Drosophila melanogaster: one gene and its partner. The protein of the gene in region 2 interacts with the protein of the main gene of each other region in a pairwise test. Each region holds a gene or a part of one and is shown on either strand. Other genes may lie near its edges. The genes, in order: wech and c(2)M.

Region 1 (12,884 bases), on a different chromosome or scaffold from region 2:
GTCCAGGTTCTGATTGAAGACCAGGATGCGTTGATTCTTTGAATCGGCCACTATAATGCGGCCCTCGTCGTCACAGCACAGGCCGGAGGGTCGATTAAATTCATGGAAGCCCGAGCCCTCATGTCCCTTCACGGAAAGAATCTGCAACAAGTTCAAAAGCGCATAAGCACCAATGGAACTAAGCTATTTACAATCATACATACGTCGTTGATGTCTGGATCAATCAGGTAGAGGCAGTGGTTGTCAAAGTCAGACACTATGATGTTGCCCGTCGGCGTGTAGCAAACGCCTCGTGGCGAGGCGATTCCTTTGGTTTGCCCATGGTTGTCGAACACTATCTGGCGGATGAAGCGACCCTCAGAGTCGAACTGCTGGATGCGATGATTGCGCGAGTCGGTAACCACAATTTGGCGGCGCGAGTTCACGGCCACATCCCACGGATACTGGAACTGGCCGTACTCCTTGCCGTAGCTGCCGAACTTGAGCAGGAAGACGCCGCTGGCGGTAAAGATTTGCACACGGTGATTGTCCTTGTCGACCACAATAATGCGATTATCAACGTCAACACAGATTCCAGCAGGCAGATCGAACTCTCCATTGCCCACGCCTTTACGGCCGAATTTGAACTTTAGGGAGCCATCGGGATTGAAGACCTGGACGCGATTGTTGCGGCGATCCGATACGAGAACGTGGCCCATTTTATCAACGCATAGACCCCATGGCCGGCTCACCTGTCCGTCCTCGTGGCCCTCGGTGGCGAAGGATAGCGAGAGAGCATTCGAGTTACGCACCTTGACCAGATCCATGCATCCCGGAATGGCCTGCGTGGTTCGCGGCGCACTGAAGTGTAATCCTGGCGAGCTGCGCAGTCCATTGAGTTCCCAATCAAGAGCAGCGCTGGACATCCCACTGGACATCCCACAGGCACTTCCTCCGCGTGGTTGCATTATGGGCGATGGAATCCGGAAGCTATTGTCTCGCAACAGGGGACGTCGCACACTTGAGGAAGCAACACTCAGCGGATTGTTGGGCATGTTCATGCCGAAGGCCAAGTCCAGGCCGTTTGACACGCCAACGCCTCCGACTACTCCAGCAACGCCTCCCACAACTCCCACGGAGGCCGCGGCCACGGCATTAACACTGGAGACGCTCGGCACAATTCCGTTGCTGCTAGAGACGATGGGCAAGTTCTTGTCGTCCACCAGGATAACGCCACCCTGGTTGCGGATATCCTGTAGCAGGCTGTAATCTGGTGGTGCGAAGGCAAAGACTTCCTGTTTTGGCTGCAGGTCCTTATATATGCCCGCAAACTGCTCCATCTGCCTCTGCCCATTGGTCAACTTCATGGCAATTTCAATCTGGTCCATGTTGCAGGCATTGTCCGCCACCTTGCTAAGCATATCGGACGTTTCGGAGAGTCCGGCGAGAGCAGACTTTAAGCCTGCCATCTGATCGTGTAGGATGGCCAGACGACGCTGGCGGAGCTTTTCCACAAAGTCCAGGAGGAAACGCTCGCGGTCCTCGATGGCAATGATAAACTGACGGAATGCCTTGCGTATATTATCGCTCAGCTCGCTGCAATTGCGCTCGATAAGCCGGATGAAGGCCAACGCTTTGTCAATGCTGCTCTTAATGCAGCGCGTGCCCACCTGGCTGCTCTCAATGGCGCCCTCCAGCTTCTCCTTCGAGCCCACCATAAAGCTTTGGATGGACGCGTAGCTGTGCTCCTTGTGCTCGTGCAGTGTGCAGCACTGACACACCAATTTCCGGCAGTAGTCACATACGTAGCGCAACATCTCGTTGTGTATGTCGCAGATAAAGTTGCCGCTGGGCGGAGTCTGTGCATTTACCGAGCTGCCACCCGTGGGCGAGGCTCCAATGGGCGTGGGCAAGGACACGATCGAGTGGTTGGAGGACAGCGGACTGTTGCGATGCTCCCTTAGGCAGTCGTTGCACATGAACTCGTTGCACTCCAGGCAGCGTATTGAAGCACTAACCTCGCACCAACCGCAGCTGATGCTCGAGTTGTTAGATGACTCTGGCGACATCTTCGGATTGCTGCGGGCACCGCTGCCAATGGGTCCAATGCTGAAGTCGCCATGCGTGTCCAGGCCGCCCAGGAAGTTATTGATAAAGAAGTCTGCGCGTGGTGGTGAGCTAGAAAAAAAAGTTGAAGAGTGATTTAAGTCGAGCCTCTCGAGATTTTTAATTGTGTTTCTATCTCACCTCTGGCCCACGTTGGGCAGTAGTCCCACGTTGAGGTCCCAGGCGGGAAAGCTCTCCAGGATGCCCGCCAGCAGTCGCTCGGAGGAGTTGCTGGCATTGCTGCTCACACTGCCGCCTCCACTTCCGTTGGCCGTTGAGGAGTGGGCCACATTGTTGGCGCTCGGCGCATTGCTGCTGGCCATTTGTTGCGGAACCGAATTGTTTGACAAAAGTTCCATCATAAGAGTGGTGAGATCACGTTTCTATAGCACAAGGCAGCAGTCAATGGAGTGGCGCTTTTCCGCTACAAAAATTAGTAAGATTTGCGAATAATTTTAGAGACGTTTGACGAAAACTCGAAGACGCGAAGAGCTCGTGGATAAAAATGTTTTGTGTTTTTTTTCTAAACTGCGTTTGGAACGCGCGGGACGTCGTCAGTTGCCGAAGGGTAGAACCTAACTAAATTGGCCAAGGAAAAGGTGCTTCATTAAGTAGTCCTAGGCAGGCAGTTGCAGCTGCATCTAGGCATCATCGTAGGTAGCGGGAAAATTCCCCGACCGCTTGCCTGCCTTCTTATGACCAATCCACAAGGCCGGATCCCCGACCCCTGATCCTTTAAGTAGGCCCGTCCCGAATCCGAGAAAAGCAATGCAACCCGAGAAAGGCAGCTGTGTGCCGCGCGGCAGCAGGTCAGATTTGTGTGTATCTTTTGTATCTGTAAGATACTTGGTTGCATTCATGCCATTGTCAAGTTCTTTGGAATCCCGGAATTTCGGAATTAGCCACGCATTTCCTAATTTACGAGCTAAAATGGCGAGTTTTCGCGCGCAATTCGGCGAACTGCCTGTACTCCTTAGATACTTTCTGTAACCCAGATACTAGAGTCGGGAAATTTCTCCCCAAAAACACGGGAAAACAAACTGGACTGGGATTAGAAACCACCCTCACGGGGCCCCACCTCAGCGCTCAACCTTATCACGTAGTTACAATATTTTCCTGTCTTTCCACCCACCACCTCGCTTCGCCAGCACTGCGCAAGCGACTTTTCCGGCGGGGAGAATGGGGTGGCAAACACAAAGCGACTACGTCATAAAACAACAGACGGAACTGGTTTCCATCTCTAAGACGAGGAGCGTAGACCCAATAAAACGACCGACTTTCATCCCTCCACCGGGTCAGGATTACGGAGCTGTTTCTTCCACACTCTGCGGAAAACTTGACGACAGGAACGTGTATTTCTTCCTTCATTCTGATTTTGGGTGATTTGAGTTAATTTATAGTATGACTTGAGGGGTAGCAAATCCAGTTTACGAATGGGGTTAAGGTGGAAAAGGGTTATTGAATGTCTGCGGGTTGAGTTTAGGCCTCCCGTTGCTCTCGTCAAGGAAAAATATTAAAGTCAAGCGATTGATGATTTTTGTCGATCTGTGGTGAAAACAATTTGCCTGGCAGTTCAGTTCTTATATTAAGATGCACTATGGCCCAGAATATATATTAATAAAAAGTTGGTGTAAAGGATCACACCCCTTTAAATGGATTTGCATTTCGATAAACAAGAACTTAACGAACTTGTTCGGTTTAATCAGTTCTAAGTAAAATTTTAAAGCAAACCAAATTGGAAATTTAAGCCAGGAAAATGTATATACTTAATGCGCAAATATGTTGATATTATTAAATAAACCCATTTTAAGGACAAGATTTTACGTTCCTTGAGTTAAGGTAACTTTGAATGTTATTACCGTTTTGACAAGGAGATTTTAAAAAACGACAAGATGTTAGGGATGTTTTAACATCTATGAATTAGCATTCTATAAAAAGAAAATACACTCCTTAAAGTGTTTAAAGGGAAATCACAACAACGTGAATTTCCATACCATCTGTAGTTTAAGAAAAGCGGTTGTGCGTAATGGTTGCGATTGGATTGCGAACAGTCCTGATGAAATCAATAAACAAACTCAGCTTTGGTACCCTTTTTTTCGGCTAAACAATGCAACGCCCTAGGAAAGGAATGCACTTCTAGGATATTTTCGAACCGTGTAGACAGCGGCAACAAAAACAAGGATAAGAAGAACAAGAGCAGGAAAAGGACTCCATGCAGAAAGAAGAGGGGGAGGAGAAGGAGGAGGCATCAGCGAAACTACCCTTGTCACCCTTGAACGTTTTCCATTGAAACGGGTCTGTCTCCGAGTCGCAGGACGTGGAAAAAACACGACCAAGAAGTTAAAGTCCTTTCACAAACACACAGACACACACATACACACACGGTTACAGCGCTACATTTGTGTTCGTGCAGCGAGGATACGACGCAAAAACATAGGGGGATGAGGACGAGGGTTGTATTCACACAAGTTTCTCTACATGTCCGTATGTAGGTGGTTTCTGCGCCGCAAATCGTCCGTATATTTGTGTATGTATATTTTCCAAAAACGGAAAAGCGTCGAGAGGAATCTTTTGGGAAATCTTGGGAGTAGTGAAAATCAATATTTGCATTTGGCAGCAATTGGACTAAAGTCTATTTATCAAATTCTGTTGATAGTGGCACGCTCGTGCCTCCTCTTTCGCTCTCTACGTGCATCTCCTTCGCGTACACACCTTTTTTAGCAGCCGCATGCAAGACGCTTGGCTTTTGTTGTTGTTGGGTCGCGCGTTCAGTACCGATTTTCGCTAATTGATTCGATTTTTAATTTGATGCGGTGCGGATTCCGTTTTGAATTGGCTTGGCTTTGCCTTTTCAGCGGATTTTCGCGAGGCGAAATTCGTTTTCCAGAGAGTTCTTATGCGTAATCCGTTCGCTCCGACAATCGTGTATTCCTTATTCCGACTGAAGAAGATACATCCGAAACCGAAACTGAAAACACAACATAACACTCGAGTCGCTCGCTCTCTCTCTCTCTCTCTATCTCTCTCTCTGTTGCTTTTGCCGCTCATCAACATCATCATCATCGCCTATGTAGCCTAAACAAAATATAAAAAATAAACCCAAATGTATCTCACAGTTTGTTTTTTAATTTTGATGTGCGCGCGCGCTCCAAAACCGTCGCTCTCTCTTTCGTTTCGCCCGCTCTCTTCTTTTCCTATTTCTTCCGCTCTCTGTTTCTCCTTCGCAGGGCGCACGGACACAGGCACACTCATGCACGGGAGGCTCACATGCACATTTTATCTTCTATTTATTTTCACTTATGCCGCAAAGAACTGCGTTTAATACAGAGGGTCGATGCAGAAGTTTGGTCAGATGTACTGTTACTAACCTCAAACAATCGAATCGCTTGATGGGGCATAACGGCTAATAGGATAATGGCGTCCGCTTCGGTCCAGGGTATCAGGGGCGTATGGGTCCTAAACAAGATTTCCTTTTATGCGGATTACACAGCTAACATTTCCCCCAACAAACTTAGTTAATAGCACTGAATTGATTTACGCACATATATTATGCTAACTTAATTCGTGCCCCATGGCTTTTTTAACTCACTTGTCAAATTCATTCACTCTACGCGGTCCTAGGGTATCCCATAGTCGTCACTCCACTTCAATTCGATTTAATCGTCAGTTCTTATTCGTTTATTATGCGAGTGTTTGATCGATGTAAAAAGCTGGCAAACTCTTTGAAAATCGCTTATCGTCGCTGTGCTTACAGATTGTTTACATTTTCCAAGCGTTTTCGGGCGAATCTTATTTACCCTTGGTTCCACCCTCGTGCACTTTTCCTTCTGCAAGCGAACGAGAAATCGAAAAAATCCATGAACAATTATTCCTATTGTGCGCCTGCTTCTTCTTCCAATTACTTTGGCGGCGTGTTTTAGCTGCAGTCTGCGGTGGCGCCCAGCTTTTTGTTTGGCCCAATCGAACGGCTCCAATTCTGACCCACTTATTGCGGCGGGGACTAGGATTCGAATTCGGCTCAAAATCTTCACTCCAACCTTCACGCACGCATTTAACCATCAAACTGCAAAACTCACGTTCATGCGCTCGCCGCTGCCGTTGCCTCTTCCTCTTCTTCTCTGCCCGGCTCTCTCGTTACGACGCTGCCCTTCTGCTGCTGCTGGTTTTTGTTGTTTTTGTCATTCGCGCCCCTGTTCGTTCAGGGTATCGCGGGCATAGCCGAATTGGAGGTTTAGTTTTTGATCCTCACAATGGCTGGTCACACTGATTCTGCTAACTGTTATATTTCAATTTTTATAAATAGTATAAATGATTATAATAAGTATAAATGATGGTCAATGAATGGCCATGAACATTTTTGTGATTACAAATCAGAGGGGAATCATACTGCTGAAATTAAAAGGAATTTTAAATTAAAATTAAATAGTGTTTCACCTTAAATTTTGGAATTCCAAATGAGTTCCGAAAAGACAAAACAGCATTCAACATTTTAACAACAATGCATGAACCACTAAGAATTTTTATGGATTCTGCGTCTAAATTTCAGACTCTACTCATTAGAAGATGAGCTTTCTGTTTAGCGAAAGTTTTTGAAAGTTAAACTCCATCCAATTGGACCCTATTAAGCAAATCGCAGAACTGTTAAGCCCGCCATTATTCAACGAAAGCTTTGAATCATTTTTAAAACATGGGGAGATGTTTTCAGGCAAAAAACACAACACACCAAAAGGGAATTATCAAGTTGCCTAGGCTCGACCAAGTTTCGCCCATCCGGAGCGCATTGTGATTGGTGAGCGGAGAGAGCGAGCGAGAGCGCGGTACATTAGCATTAACGGCGCATGTGGCGCGAAAATGCGGAGGGAATCACCTTGTGGTTGTTGTTGTTGCCGCGTGCACCACCCTTAAAGAACTTGTTTTGCACTGACAGAAATTTTGAGCCGCCCGTGGCTGGAAAAATGCAATTGCAACAGTGACCGTGGATAATTGGGAACTCGAACTGCGGGCGGGGTGCGCAGGTAAAAGGCGCAGGTGCACCGGAGCGCAGATACAGGTAAAAGTGAGCGGTTATCCTGAGGAAGAAACAAGTAATCATGCTGGCGTGATCGTCTATTTGAAGTGTAAATATGTATTGTAATGCAATATGGTATGTATTGAAGTGTGTTGGTATGAAGGAAAGCAGGCCGGAATACTGATTACATGCTACGTATGTAGGCAGATTCACAGAGTTAGTCAGTCGCGTTCTTATAATACTGTAAGCTAGGCTTATAAAGTAAATCTCCCCACATTCCCCCGGATATACGCGTCCTCAGCCAAACTCCAGTTCCTCGATGAGCACGTTCTGTAATTTCTGGCGCACGCGCAGACGCCGGCGGCTGTCCAATCTTTGCAGGAAGGGCATCAGACTGAGCAGGAACATGCGATCCGCCTCGTCCTGGAGATCTCCACCAGAGGGATCCGTATTCGTGGCCACATCCGTGCTGATATACTTGAATGGCAGATCGGCGGTGGGTGACTGCGAATTGGAGAACACCTTGGCCTCCTGCTCGCTCTTCAGGCTGGATCCGCCGTGGCTAGTGTTATTCGCCTTGGTCTTGGTCACCGCCTGCTCCATTTCGTCGTCGTCATCGAGCACTTCTATGGTGAATACACCGGAACTGGCAGCATCGGCACGATTGCCGCGTTCCTCTTCCAAGTTCTCCGAGGCGGCATCTTCGTCGAAGTCATCGTCATCCTCCTCGTCCTCCTCCCTCTGACTGGGCTCCGACTTAAATCTCTTATTCTCCGGCGGCTGGCAGTCGCGATCCTCGAAGAACGAACTGATGTCCGAGAAGCTGGGCTGGTGTAGCTCCGAGTCATAGCTGTGGCTGAGCTCGCATATGGGCTCCGTAGCAACAATGGGCATTGAGTCATACTTGTCCGGCCCCAGCACATTATTGTTCTCCGTCCAGTGTCCGGGTGGGTGCTTCTTGCTGCTGCTTCGCGTCTGACGCATGATATTCTCGTGAACGGCGGGCTCCATGAACCGCATATCGTTGTAGAAGCGCCACGACGAGGGCGTCTCATTGGACAGGTTATTGCGGATGTACACCTTGCGAAAGTTGTCCCTCAGGTGGCCCCACTTAATTCGGCAGATGTCGGCTGTGAAAGGGGGGAGTCATTTTAGCGGAAAGCGCAGAGGAGAAATAGTCAGCCATACACTCACCTGGCAAATTCACATCCTGACCCACCTCGAACCAAACAGGCGTGATGTCGCTGCGCTTCTGGCCATTGGCATTGTTGCGCAGCCACAACATCGGACGTCGTGAGACGGCGGCAATCAGGCGCTTCACCGTTTCGATGGGCAGCTTGGCGGTGTTGGTGAAGGCGAAGGAGGCGGTGGCAGAGGCGGCGGCAGAAGCAGAGCCGACGGAGGCCGCCGACGATGACGCATTGTAGGCCATCTCCATGTCCAGATCCGAGTGGCCAATTTCCGATAGCCCGATAGCTAGTTAGCCAGATCCAGTTCCGATTCCAACTCCGAGTTTCCCGGCAAGCGACTCGCGCAGCTCAAGCGTTCAGGCAGCACTGAAAATACGAAAAATACGGGCACCACGAAGTGTACGGCCCAGCCAGCAACAACCAGTTTACGTGCCTTTTGGCGGTGCCGAGAGAGAATTGTGGAAAGAGCGGACGGAGCTGGTTGCGACGGCACAGGCAAAGGCGAAGGCGGAGCTGCGGGATCGGGAAGGAGGAGAGAGGCTTGAGCAACAGGCTTTGCCACGAACAGAAGACCCAAGAAGAGGAAGAAGAAGCAGGAGAAGCAGAAGAAGAAGAAGCAGGCGCAGGCGAGGCGGCAGAACAACAACTGAGCTGCCTGGCAATATTATCCGGATGTTAAGCTTCCGCTGCGCTGGCCGCAACTCTGTGTCGTATTTGCGCTTTTTACGGTTGTTAACTTCGCCATTGTGAGCCCACCGTAACGAATCTAATATGCTCTGCACCGAAAACGGCTATTGCAATAGAATTCCACCCGTACAGCGACTTGAGCGGACATGTCACGCGCTTTAGCGGTAAAAGTCTTTACATAGAGCTCTATGGCCCACCCTCCCGTTACGCGAAAGGAGATCCTTTTCCAGGTGACCCAGCCGCAGAGACTGGAAATTCATAGTGTAGCGTATAGAGAGCGGTGTAGTGTACTTTGTTTATTTTTATCAAAACTGGATTTTACTACGGTCGGCTGGCTGGGTCGCTTGGAAATGGAGCTGGAGGGAACGTACAAAATTCACGCCACGCCAGTGGAGCCACCGCCACAGCGCACATACATATGTACATTTCTATATACAGACGAGGGTGTGTGGGAACAAAAGCTCCAGCTGGAACGATCGTGAGCCTGGAACCGAAGACTGTATCCGTTGTCTGTATATGTGTACACACGTACATATTAATGTTTATACGTGTATGCTTGCACGTTTCGGGTTGAGTCTCCTCTTCTTGGGACTGCGAAAATGCAAGTGAAGCAGACATGACAAGTGGCGACCGGGGTTATTTATCAGATCTTCTGTAGCTTTGCGGTTGGGTTTCAGCCTGACATTTGATCCTCGCCGCAATTTATACTCGTCTTTCTACCCACAGTGCGAAAAACACACACACACATTCGTATGCACAATGTACGTGGACAGACATGCGGCCAATAAATGGGAATCCAACACCGTAATTGGCCATTTTCAAGAACGCCTTGCAAAGAAAACTGGGGAAAAGATACAGACATACCTAAGTATCTATGTATACGAGATATGTATGTATATTTATACGGACCGGTTCTTTGTTTCCGATCCGGTTAACTTTTAGGGAATACGGAGTACGATTGATCTTTCGTTAAGATGGTTATTTGAAATCCGTCAGCTTGTCTTTTAAGTAGCGATTAAACTAATGCATATTTGATAAAATTTGGTTAATTTTCGTTTAAATATTGTTTCTTCTATATGTAAACAAAGGCTTTTAAAGGGGAAAATACTAGGCCGAATAAATTAATAATATGATGCATACTTTGTTTTGAACCAAATAAAATAAATCATGCTCATCTAAGATATCTAAGATGTACTTTTATGTAATATTAGTATCTGATTTGTAGCGAATCTTACCTGTGAGTCTACAAAGCTTTCGATGTACATATATATTTATCTTTTCTGATCATACATTACTTTCGTAAATTGAGAATTGAAATTCATTAAATTATTGGAGGTTTTAAAACATTTGGTCAAATATCGACAAAACAATAGAATTGACTTTACAGATATACATATTACATTTATTGACATTCAACGAAACTCAAGGATTGAGCGAAAATATATTGTATATATAAGCGATAAGTACTTGGTTCCGGAATCCACACGCACATGTAACAAATAGACGAATCGCACACTTAACAATAGAGAAATTCTTTACGGGTTATGAGAGATGTCGATTTAAGAATCTGGAATATATATGTTTAGACATATGGTATATACTACACGTACAGTATGCATATTTATAGTGAGTGGTAATGGTAATGAAGCGCCCTGCAAATACATCGCCTGGCCCAACCGAATCGAAAGCGCCTGCGCTCGGTTATGATAATGATGATGGTGATTGTGATAGAGATGTCGTTTACACTGTGGACAGGCTGGGTTCTTCCTCGACGTTGTTGTCCTCGTCCTCCAGGGGCAGAGATGCGGATGAGCATCGCTTTCGGTTCCCCCCGGAAGGATTACCTACCGCCTGACTCCCGGTCATAATAGAATAGCTCTTAGAGGCGGGTTTTCGAGGACTGGCGATGGTATCCTTCTCCAGGGCAGACAAATCCCCATTGCTGTGACCATTGCTGCTATGCGGTGAGCAGCTACCATTACTGTTAGCGGTGCCCGATACGATCCCGGCACCATTTCCATTACCACTTCCGTTGCCACCGCCCGCCTCGTTGATGAAAACATCCATGTGATCGATGGTGTCGTTTAAAGCAAAGCTCTGATCCCGGCGCTCACTCTTCTTCCACAGATAGTAGAAATGGACCAGCTCGCGCATGGTTCTAGTGCGCACCTGAAAGAGCCCAACGAGCCCATAGATTACTTGCTAGGGCGGTCCGCAGGCAATGGACGCTCCTTTACCTGGTTTTGACGTATCTGATAGAAGTCCTTGCCAAACCGCTGAATGCCCTCCTCGAACTTTAGGCACTCGTCCTCGGACCAGCTGCTCATGGTATCAGTGAGAGGCAGGACGTTCATGCGCTTGCGTCGTAGGGCTTCTTTGAAGTCGTAACCGCACTGGACAAGCAGATGGAGCGCCTGCTCATTATCCTTTACCACCAGCTCCTGATCGCCAGCGCCACTTGTCGCAAGCGGAGCCCTCGGAGGCGTGGCTGGAGCTGTAATGGGAGCCGGCGGTTCGATAGTAGCACCTGTAGCTGCGCCTTCCTCGCCCGCCGTAGTCTCTGACCCGTCATCCGGCGGAACTATCGATCGGGTTTCCTGTATCTTGGCCAGATATTCCTCCACCTCGCGCTCGCTGACTTGGCTGGGCTCCCAGATCAACTGATCCTCGTTCTCATATGGCAATATATCGCCATATTGCGACAGCCCCTCTGGGATCTCAGCCTGATAGTCGTGACCCACCATTATTATCTTCCGAGCATCGTCCAACTCGGATTCGCTTTCCTCCTCCTCCTCGGCCTCCACTTCATCGAACAGTGTTTGCAGTGGAGTGACTATAAAAGTGTTACATAATGGAAGTGATAATTAGATTCTGTCACGTTTTATTTTTAAACCTACATCTTTCCGTCTCCTCTCCGCATGTGGGCGCCAGATCGACGAAGGATTCATCTGGATACAGGTCCAGCAAATGTGAGCGATGCTGCTTCTTGATCCCCTCATACTTTTGCGCATCCTCCGTGTCCACGGACGAAGCTTCTCCTGATTCTGGGGGTGATGCTAGCTTATCGGCCTCCTCCTTGGGTTCCTCCTCCTGGTCTATGCCGTCGTGTTTCTCCAGTTGCGATGTGCTGCTCGAAGTGGAGGTCGACGTGTGAGCCATCTCCGTGTCCAGTTCCTGGTACTGGCGCTTTGTGGCCCTACGTGCACGTCGTGAACTGCTGCCGGAACGGTTCGAGCTGCTCATTGCCGGCGAAGCCGCTGTCCCGCCATATTTGGCCAGCAGCTCCTCGATGGGCATCTCGCTCTCCTCGCGCAGCGTGGCGATCTCGTCCTCGGCACTGTGCGCCTCCATGTCCGCCAGAGCCTCCTCCTCGTTCAGCGTGGCCTCGTCGTCAAAGTCGTTGACCATCATGTCGATGGTGGGCTCAAAGGTGGTGTCCGCCACCGAGGACGACGGCGACATTGGCGGTTGGACGCTGGTGCTGTTGTTGTCCGAACTGGTGGCCGGCGACTTGCGGCGCTCCCGCTTGGTGGGCGTGACGGCCAGATCGCTGTTTGCCAGGCTGCCGGAGTCCGCCGACGCCTCGGAAGCGCTGTGCTGGGAGTGATCCGACGATTTCCCGAACTCCATCATTTTCCGTACACACAGTGTGGCAGCAGCCAGAGCGCCAAAATATCTGCACTTCGCCTGCGCAAATGCGCTAAAAAACGGCACTAACTGGGATATTCCTTTTTTAGTTGGGGTACTCCTATATATTCGAAATTTGTTTTTGTTTGGCTTTCCAAAGTAATGCTTAATTACACGAATTTTAAGATTCAGTTTTTCTGCCTTTTCAAATTTAAGTGATATGTGCTCTTCTTATGTATAAATCACTTTATCAATATTTTAGCAAGCTTGACAACATTTTCCACGTT
Region 2 (9,440 bases):
TTCAGATATATTAATGTTACAAGAGCCAATGCCTACTCAACCTTTAATACCCCAACCCATATATGTATGACAACTTCCAAAAATTTAGTAAAAACTAAATATTTTCGTATACTTCCGCAGGGGCCACCGCCGAAGTGATTCTTTCCCGAGGTATCATGCTGTGGGTGGGTGCCCGAGGCACCGAGTTCAGTTGGATCTACATCCTCAAGTGTCTGGAATCGAACGTGCTTCTGGTGCAGCACATCACTACGGCCACCCTGATCTGGCTCTTCACCCGTCACGATTTGAACAAGGCATTAAAGCCGCTGGTTAGTCTACTTCTGGCGGTGACTGTCTTCAAAGGCGTCTGGCTGGAGGGCATGCTCCACATTCTGACCATTGGACCTTGGCTAACGGTGGCTGTTAAAGCGCTGGTGGCGGCCGTCATTGGATTCTGCACGCTGCACATCTATTCGGGTCTGGCCCAGCAGATCGGAATTTAAGCAATTGTGCCAAACACTCTGTATTCCTTTGTTTTTGTAACTTGTTTATTTTTTGGTGTTGTCAGAGAAATTGAGATTTTGTAACAAAGACAACAATTACGGTTTAGAGAATTACTCCAAATGTTAATGAATTATAGCTACGATAACGTAATAGTAACAAAGATAACAAACAACTTTTAATGGGTACACGAAACTAATATGATAATGAAAAAAAAACTATTTTTATAGACAGCAACAAGTAACATCTATAGAATTTTTCAATTCTTGAAATGAAACGAATTATCCAGGACATCGTTGCTCAATTGTACCATAAGATTGTATGGAAAAAGAGTAGATTAAAGCCATCTAGGTTAGAGATTGGCTCAACTTATATGTTATAACACAATAGCAATAACAGAAAACAAAACAACAACAAAAATGTGGAAGATTGTCAACTACAAAGTTGTTTGGTAATCTTGAAAAAAATTATCTAAAAATATTCACAGAGTCTCACTCAGCATAAGATTGTCTATTAGCTTAGCGGACTCTTTGCCAAGAGTAATTTGGTACATTTCCAGCGAATTAGCTCGCTTTGATATCTCTATAAAATGGTCTCGAACAAGATCTGAAATTTAAGCTATACGTTATTTCCAACACACATTTTGTTCTTTTTCGAACTCACACAACAAATGGAGAAAGGCTAACGAAGCCTTGATGCGACTATCAAACGTTTTTATAAAATCAATGGCATCGATTCCCGTGATTTTCGGATTATTACGCCAAATGCTTAAGAGACTCATCATTACGCTGTAGGTATCTGCAATGAGATTATATTTTATTTACGATAGCATGTTGTAAACATTGGCTGAACTCACCATCATGATTATCCTCACGGTATATGCCGTGCTCATTCATTTCATTATGATAATTCTGATTTACATCATCACGTGGCTGAAGTTGAGGTTGCACACAGTCTTCCACTTCAAGCGGTTCGGGCTGATAGATATGTGCCGCTTTATCCCTACATTTTGTAGCCTGCGATGGTCGCACAAATATCTCTTTAGAAAGATTCTCGGTAAACTCGCAGCCAAATATGGTTCTCAATGTGTTTTCTGCCTCGAATTCCTTTTCTTCATTACTGAGCTTAGGTCCGGAGTGGTTATGAAGAGCTAAAAAACTTACACTACATCAAAAAATTAAAAAGTTTTAAATAGCAAAATGTATAAGGCTCCTACTTATTATACAGTTTACAGAGAAGTTCCTTAGGGGGTTTCCGTAAATCCGAGGATTTTGGCACTATCACATTCCTTGAAAGGTATTCTTCCATATATTTCTGTCTATGCTTCACCAGCTGCTCCCGGGTGTATTCAATTCGTTTGTCTACTATTAGCTTTCTTTTCCGATTTTTCGGGTGGCTAAATGTTATTTCTCCAAAAGAATTTAAAACGGATGGCAACGACGGTTCACAAACTATCTGAGTTACTTCAGCTGGTTCAATGTTATGCGGAAAGATTTGGGTCATGATAGCATTGTCAGCTTGGAAAACATCGCAATCATCCAATCTGGGCATTTTATCCGGTAAGATGTCAGTTGGATCCTGAGCTATTGAGTGTCGCTTTACTATAATACAAAAAAATAGTTTATTACATTTTCAATTGAATTGAGAATTCTTACGTGAGTTCCGTGTGCCATCTTTGGGGTAAAGCTCTTGAAAAATGGTTAAGTCCGCGCCCTCGGCTTCGCCAAAACCATTTGATGGCATAATTAAGCTATGATCTTCGGGAAGTTCAATCTCTTCGGTGATTGTAATGGAATGATACGACTTTGACTGAGTGCAACTCCGGGGTTGTTCAATAGACTTTTTGCGAAAAATGAAATCATATAAGGAAGCAGTCCAACAGTATATTGACGACTAACCTCGTTCAGGTCCTCCACCACCTGTTGTGTGCACTCCGTTTGCCACATCTGGCATTCGGATAGCATCTTCTCGTAGTATTCATGTGAGAATTCATCCAATAGATCCGATTCCTGCAGTCTGGGACGTTTTGATACTGTTACTTTAGATTTCTTGGTGATCACCCGCTTTCCTTTGCGTTGGATTCGAATCTCTGATTTGTTGACCACTACGGATTTTGTTGTGGTGAGAACGTAATCCAAGTTGGTACGTGTACATTGGTCAAGTAATACCTTCGTGTCCCCTGTAAGAATTCGTGATTATATATCAATGTTACGTAATATTCGGACTAATACTTACCCAAAAGTAGATCCACTTGGCATCTAAAAATATCCGCAACTCCAAAAACCAAGCGGGAAATGTCCTTGAAAATAACATTTTGCCGGTTTCTTGCGGCCAAAACATTGGATCGTTTCTGGCGTTTTCTTAATGCATTTTCCTCAATTAATTCGGTGATTTGCTTGCTGAAATGTAGATAAATGTTGAAAACAATTGAATATAATGAAATGTTAAAAAAATTCATTATATTTAATATTTAATTACCAGCAGGCGACTACATCCACATCAGCGATCTCATTTCGATTAAGTTGGCCAAATGCCGATTTCCTCGGTTTGCGCCCTCCCGCTTTCCAGCAGGAATTAAGGATGTTGCTCTCATATAAATTCAAGCTCATTGTAACTACGACATTAAGCACATAGATTATAGTATTAACTATTTATAAGTTAGTGCTCTCTGTAACAACCCTAAAGTAACGGTACTTTTTTGACAGTCCATCAGCCACTAGAGAGGACAAACATGATCCAAATATCGTATACGAACGATTTTTACCTACTATAAAATAATGATAAGTTTTAAGTATATCTACAAAACATTTTTAAAAAAGAGCGTTCCTATTTCAATCTAAAAAATACATTTCAATTATTTTTAATAAATTCCATAAATAATACCAATGTTGCCGTAAAGAAAAAAGCTTAATGAAAAAAAAACCTTTAGCAAATATTGTTATTATTTTTTAATTTATCAGAAACGTCGTTTAACAACACTTCACATATTTTTGATGCAGCACAGAATATTATTTGGCGTTCAGTGAACGGTCTCACTGCAGGAACAACAAAACAAAACTCAGAATAAACGACAGTATTTAAACGATTCCTTAAGGACAAGTGATATTGCATTCCTACAATTAACTGCCAAAAATTCGGTAGTGCAGCACACTTTACAGATCGCATCCCTAACTTCATAGCTAAAGTTATGGTAGGAAGTGTATATAGGGTCGGAAATCAATTACCAAAATGAAAACATGACTAATAGAGTGTGGGCGTGTTTTTGTTTTTGTTTTTCAATCGACGATTGTTGTTAGCAGATAACTTTGGTGATTCCAATTCATTAATCAATTATATCGATTTCATACAGAGTGATAACCAGATATGCGACATAAGCAACGAAGTTCTGGAGGAATTGAAGAAGTTTCGATTCAGCAAGAGCAAAAATAATGCGGCTTTGATATGTAAGCCTTGATTGTCATGGTAACAGATGTGTGTAGTTTTTATGACCACTCCATTGTCCCTTGCAGTGAAAGTCGACCGGGAGAAGCAAACGGTGGTGCTGGACGAGTTCATCGACGATATTTCGGTGGACGAGCTGCAGGATACATTGCCAGGACACCAGCCCCGATATGTCATCTATACGTATAAAATGGTCCATGACGATCAGCGCATTTCGTACCCAATGTGCTTCATATTCTACACACCCAGGGATAGCCAGGTGGGAGTTTAGCAATGCTCAAATATATTCTATAATTCATAACTCTCTGTTTCAGATCGAATTGCAGATGATGTACGCCTGCACGAAGAGCGCTCTTCAGCGCGAAGTAGATCTCACACGCGTCTACGAGATACGCGAACTAGACGAACTCACCGAGGAGTGGCTGAAAGCCAAGCTCAAGTAGAGAGGTTTCGATCTCTGGGATCAATCAATCCGGGCCGTTGTCAAAAGCAATATTTTATGATAGTTCTCTGATTGATTTTTGAGCTTTTTATATACATATTCAAACTGGATTAAGCCGATACCAACGATGCATACCAATACCAAACAAACCAATATTGAGATACTACAATTTTTACCTACAGAAAACACAAATCAAGCTTAGTTTATACAACAATGACATTTTTATATCGACGACAAGTATGCGACAAGTACGCGCGGGGAGTTTTTAGTGATTTTAGTTCTTGCATTTAAGTAATAATCTTAATAGAAGCTGTGCTTGCCAAATTTCTACATGTATTTATTGTAAAGATATAAAAGCAAACATGACAAAATATTCCATTTTATATAGACAAACTAAATAAAAGTGTTCAATATCAAAACATAATCTAAAACAATAATTATGATTAAGATAAATCTTCGTAGCTATACTCTAATAATGTAGTCTTTGTGCCGCCGTGTGGTGCAGCATAGTGTAACGTCCTTCACTTGGCGTTGGCGGTGGAGGCGGCGGCGGTGCCAACATGTGAGCCATTGCAGCCATTCCCATTTGTGTGGCGGGATTCGGTGGGCCGAGATGATGCAGTGCATCGTGATGGTAGTGATGCGACATAGGTGGTGCAGGAGGCAACGGCAAATTCAGTAGATTATTATTCGCCGCATGCGTGCGAAAATGTAGACTTAGGCTGTCCGCCGTATCAAATGCCTTGTCGCAATCCGGACACTTGAAGTGGGCGTGATCGAGGGTGTCCAGACCCACGGGATCCGTGTCTATAGCCTCATCATCATCATCATCCACTATATCATGGTTTGTACTGGACTCCAGAGGATGAAGCTTCAATTTATGAGTCCGCATATCTCTTCGCCTGCTGAAAGCCTTGCCGCAGACATCGCAGTGATGGTTTTTGATGCCCGTATGGGTTATCATGTGCTTGGAGAGATCACCGGCGGTGTAGAAACCTTTCTGACATAGCGAGCATACCTGATCCCGCACTCCTAAATGAATCTTCTGGTGCGCCTGGAAATTGCCTAACGCGGAAAACTGCTTTGAGCAGATCTCACACTGAAAAGGCTTGTCGCCCGTGTGCGTTCTTTCGTGGACTTTAAGATTGTACTTTTGGGCGAATCTCTGGATACAAAAGCTGCATTGGTAGGGTTTCTCGCCAGTATGTGTTCTTATATGCTGTGTTAATTGGGCAATGCATTTGAAGCTTTTGTGGCACTCGTAGCAGGTGTGGGGCATCTTTGGCACAGGTTTGGGCCCCCGTTTTTTGTGCTCTTCTGGCGGCTTTCTTTGATAGCGCGACCGCCTCTTGCTCACTTTGGCATCCACGGGTTCCTCTTCATCGCTATCGCGCTGCGGAAGCAACGGCTTCTCCACAAAGTCCGTATTGGTGGCCGCATCCTGGCGCCAGGATTCCAGAATGCCCAGATATTGTCGCAGTCGGAGATCACTGTTTTCGCATTCCTGCTTGAAGTGGAAGGCCACCCCCAGCCGGTAAATACAGTTGTTGCAGATCACCGAAGGTAGGCCATCGGTTTTAAAAACCTAAAACAATTTCCATATGCCAATTAACATTGAAATATTTTGTTTTTAGAACCCACTCTTATTTTAGCGCATTGCATCAACATTACGGAGGGCATCATAGCAAAGTCTGTACTATATATCGAAGTTACAGGATGTAGTTCCTCCAGGCAAACTCTGCATATTTTGTGGATATTATAGTCCATGTTTTATTTCAATTTTATAGAAATCAACAAAAAAATTATTGAAAATTTTGCTCTAAACTCCTATCAGCTGATTGGGACCAGGGCTGCAACGGTACAGTCGTAACTCTAGCTTGTGAAACAAATCTATCATATATGATTAAATTTGTTTCGCGTGTTTAAAATGAATTTCATACTCAATGTGGATTCATTTCCGCAAATATGCAAAAGATATAGTAATATTTTGGTGAGCTACTTCAACTACTAATTACGTTGATAAGTGTTGATAACAATGATTACATAAATATTTAAAACCCACCTTTGTTTTACGAATTATATAAAAAATGCACATACATGTACCGCTAAATATTTATTGCATATTATCTGAATTATTTTCATTTATGAAATTTGGGTAAAAACTGTAGGAATAGGCAGGGCTGCACATGCGATACGGCGTTGCCACCTTCAACGAAAAAGTGTAACCTTTTTTCGTTTTTGCGCTGACGTGACGTGACAGTTGATTTGTTTGATTAAAATAACTAAGAGTAAAATCGCAGCCAAATCGATTTGCGCCACTAACCCGGAATCGATAGCCGGAAGCAAAGACGCAGCCGGAAAAGGAGAGGCATATAAGAAGAACGATCCTCGCACCGGTCGAGGAAAAGAGAGAGAGAGAGAGGGGCAGCGAGAGAGAGAGAGCGTGAGAAACTGGGAGCTGCACGGGTGAAATTTCGTGGTTTCGGGACCCCGACCACCTGAGCTCTCCACCCCCCGCTGATAATATACATATCCCCGCATATATTCCCCACTTTCAAGATGCTGTGTATACAATATTAGCGATTATCGAGACCAGGCAGCGCATGTGCCGGCATCCAAAAAGGCACAAATTGAATACTTTAACTATTGTAAACAAATTCTGGAGAGGAGGTGACCAAGGTCAAACAATCCGACGAATACGAATACCTGGCGGCTAGTCTCGTTTCACTCCACCGCAAAGTGCCAGTTAACCAGTGCCGCTTGCCATGGCCACAAGCAGCCAGCTGTTGCCCAATGGCAACTTGTCCAGGAATGGCAAGACCAAGACAGAGGACGGTGAGGAGGTGGAAGCCGTTGTTGGAGCTCGTGCAGCAGGTGCAGATGCCGGAGTAGCACTAACGGGACGACTAACAGGACACCCATCCACATCCGGAACGTTTATGAAACTGAAAACCTATCTCCTAGCTCTGCGTCCCTGGTCGCTGTCCGCCAGTCTGGTTCCAACGCTGCTCGGCTCAGCCCTGGCCTACCGCTCCCAGTGGGCGGAGGAGTTTTCGCTGGCCACCTTCTTTCTCACCGCCTTCACCGTGGTCACCGTCCACTGCGCCGGCAACGTAGTTAACACCTATTTCGACTTCATCAAGGGCATTGACAAGCAGAAAGCCGACGACCGCACGCTGGTGGATCACATACTCACCAAGGATGAGGTGAGCAATCGAACGGATGGATCAATCAAGCCAATAGAGTGCAGATCCGTCCATAGAGCATAGAGCCTACTCTTATCCTTCGGAAAGTAAAACTTCAAAAAAGTAAAATTCAAACATTTTTCGATTTTTCTGACGTGTTCACCAAAATTCCACATTTGCAAATACAGTATTCCGAAAAATCAAATTATATGCAAAGAAACTCGCGAGCACTTCTAAATCTTTAATGGCAAAACGTGATATTTAAATTCAAATTTGTCAGTGGCGAAGCAAAGATTCTCAAATTTTCTTTTTAAATTAACAAAAACAATTTTAAACACCTAAAATATTTGAAAATGCATTCAGTGTATGTGTGTACATTTCAGATGAACAGAAATTAAATTAGTTTTATATACGTTCAGAAAAAAACGTGCCGAAATCATAAACCATTTTGGAAGCGAAAACAATATCAAGAATTGGTAGCAATTAGCAAGGTACTAATTCAAATCAAGGGCAAATATATTAGAGAGTATTCAAACAATAATACTTTTAAATTTATAATTTTATCGAATTTCTATAGGACAATTTTTTCCGTTTTATAATGGAATTTAATTGGAATATGCATAAATTAATTATGACAGCATGACAGCAGATTTAATCCTTATCCGCAATTATAAATAATAAATATTTGTTAATTTGCAGGTGGTATCGCTGGGTGCCATTCTGTACATGGCTGGCTGTGGAGGATTTGTTTTGCTGGCTGTGCTCAGTCCGGCGAAAATGGAGCACCTGGCACTGATCTACTTCGGGGGATTGTCCTCGAGCTTCCTGTACACCGGAGGCATTGGTTTCAAGTACATCGCCCTGGGAGATCTGGTTATACTGATACTCTTTGGACCCATCTCGGTGCTATTCGCCTTCATGTCGCAAACAGGTCATTTGGACTGGACGACAATGGGCTATGCGATTCCTTTGGCTCTCAACACGGAGGCCATCCTGCACAGCAACAACACAAGGGATGCGGACAACGATCGCCGGGCTGGAATCGTAACGCTCGCCATTTTGATAGGCCGTACAGCATCGCACGTTCTGTATGCCATGCTGCTCTTTGCACCCTACTCATTGTTCTTCATCTTCGGTTTGAAGTACTCTCTGTGGTTCCTGCTGCCGCTGGTAACCCTGCCGCAAGCGTTCCAGATTGAGAAACGTTTCCGCAACGAACAGACGATGCATCTGGTGCCTCGGCAAACAGCCAAGCTGAACTTCTTTTTTGGCATCTTGTACGTGGTGGCCTGCTGTTGTGCCCATCAGTTGCCCACCTTTGGATTGCGAAGAAATTGATAGACGGGTTAAACGTACGGATCTGGCGGAAAATCTGAATCAGTGAGAACCTGGTGCAATGTTTTAGGGAATTTCATTAGGTTTTAGTCAATGTGAGTAACATAAAGGATGGGAGAATGAAGCTTTGTCAGCTTCTCACAGTTTGACGTTGCGCAAATTTCGAATGCTGCTAGTCGCCCGTTTGATTCTAAACTTTTGAACTGAACATATCCTAGCCCTAATGGGTCGATTAACTTGAGAGAAAACCTATGGTTAATGTAAGACATTTTGAAATACGGATTACAGTCCTAGTATCAGCTTAACAGTTTACTATTTCGTTTCCAAACGATAATCCATAGGCATTGTGCAAACATAAATGGAATTTAATCCAATTGGATAAGCTAAAAAGTCTCTAACCAAATGCATACTTAAAATAAATATTAACATTATTTGGCAAATATTTTGATAGTCAAATGTTAAGATCTGAAACATTTTATTTGCTTTCAAGTTGTTTAAACCAAAAGTATGATATTAGACAATTAATTTCTATGTCAAAAATTGCTTAAATTGCCCAA

Evidence for each region.
Region 1: the proteins of c(2)M (region 2) and wech interact in a two-hybrid assay, tested with the Drosophila melanogaster proteins (one study listed by BioGRID).

The regions. Positions count from the first base shown.
Region 1 is NT_033778.4:7,483,659-7,496,542, forward strand, and holds the start of wech (wech), read right to left. Parts: upstream 6,166-12,884; 5' UTR 5,675-6,165; intron 5,035-5,674; exon of another isoform or gene 4,798-5,034; intron 2,671-4,797; exon of another isoform or gene 2,510-2,670; 5' UTR 2,448-2,509; coding exon 2,227-2,447; intron 2,158-2,226; coding exon 204-2,157; intron 142-203; coding exon 1-141. Other genes in the region: Coop (corepressor of pangolin), read right to left, coding at 7,391-8,223, 8,288-8,531; CG1620 (uncharacterized protein), read right to left, coding at 10,711-11,139, 11,208-11,803, 11,868-12,603. UniProt on the Drosophila melanogaster protein: Vital for larval development. Plays a role in tumor formation. A crucial component for the physical link between integrins and the cytoskeleton in the epidermal muscle attachment sites.
Region 2 is NT_033779.5:16,297,001-16,306,440, reverse strand, and holds c(2)M (crossover suppressor on 2 of manheim), read right to left. Parts: upstream 3,178-9,440; 5' UTR 3,090-3,177; coding exon 2,959-3,089; intron 2,880-2,958; coding exon 2,716-2,879; intron 2,660-2,715; coding exon 2,379-2,659; intron 2,320-2,378; coding exon 2,136-2,319; intron 2,082-2,135; coding exon 1,697-2,081; intron 1,645-1,696; coding exon 1,337-1,644; intron 1,279-1,336; coding exon 1,144-1,278; intron 1,087-1,143; coding exon 962-1,086; 3' UTR 501-961; downstream 1-500. Other genes in the region: CG5861 (uncharacterized protein), read left to right, coding at 121-482; GMF (glia maturation factor), read left to right, coding at 3,668-3,670, 3,830-3,923, 3,990-4,180, 4,236-4,364; CG17328 (uncharacterized protein), read right to left, coding at 4,833-5,948, 6,005-6,130; heix (heixuedian), read left to right, coding at 7,129-7,569, 8,248-8,886.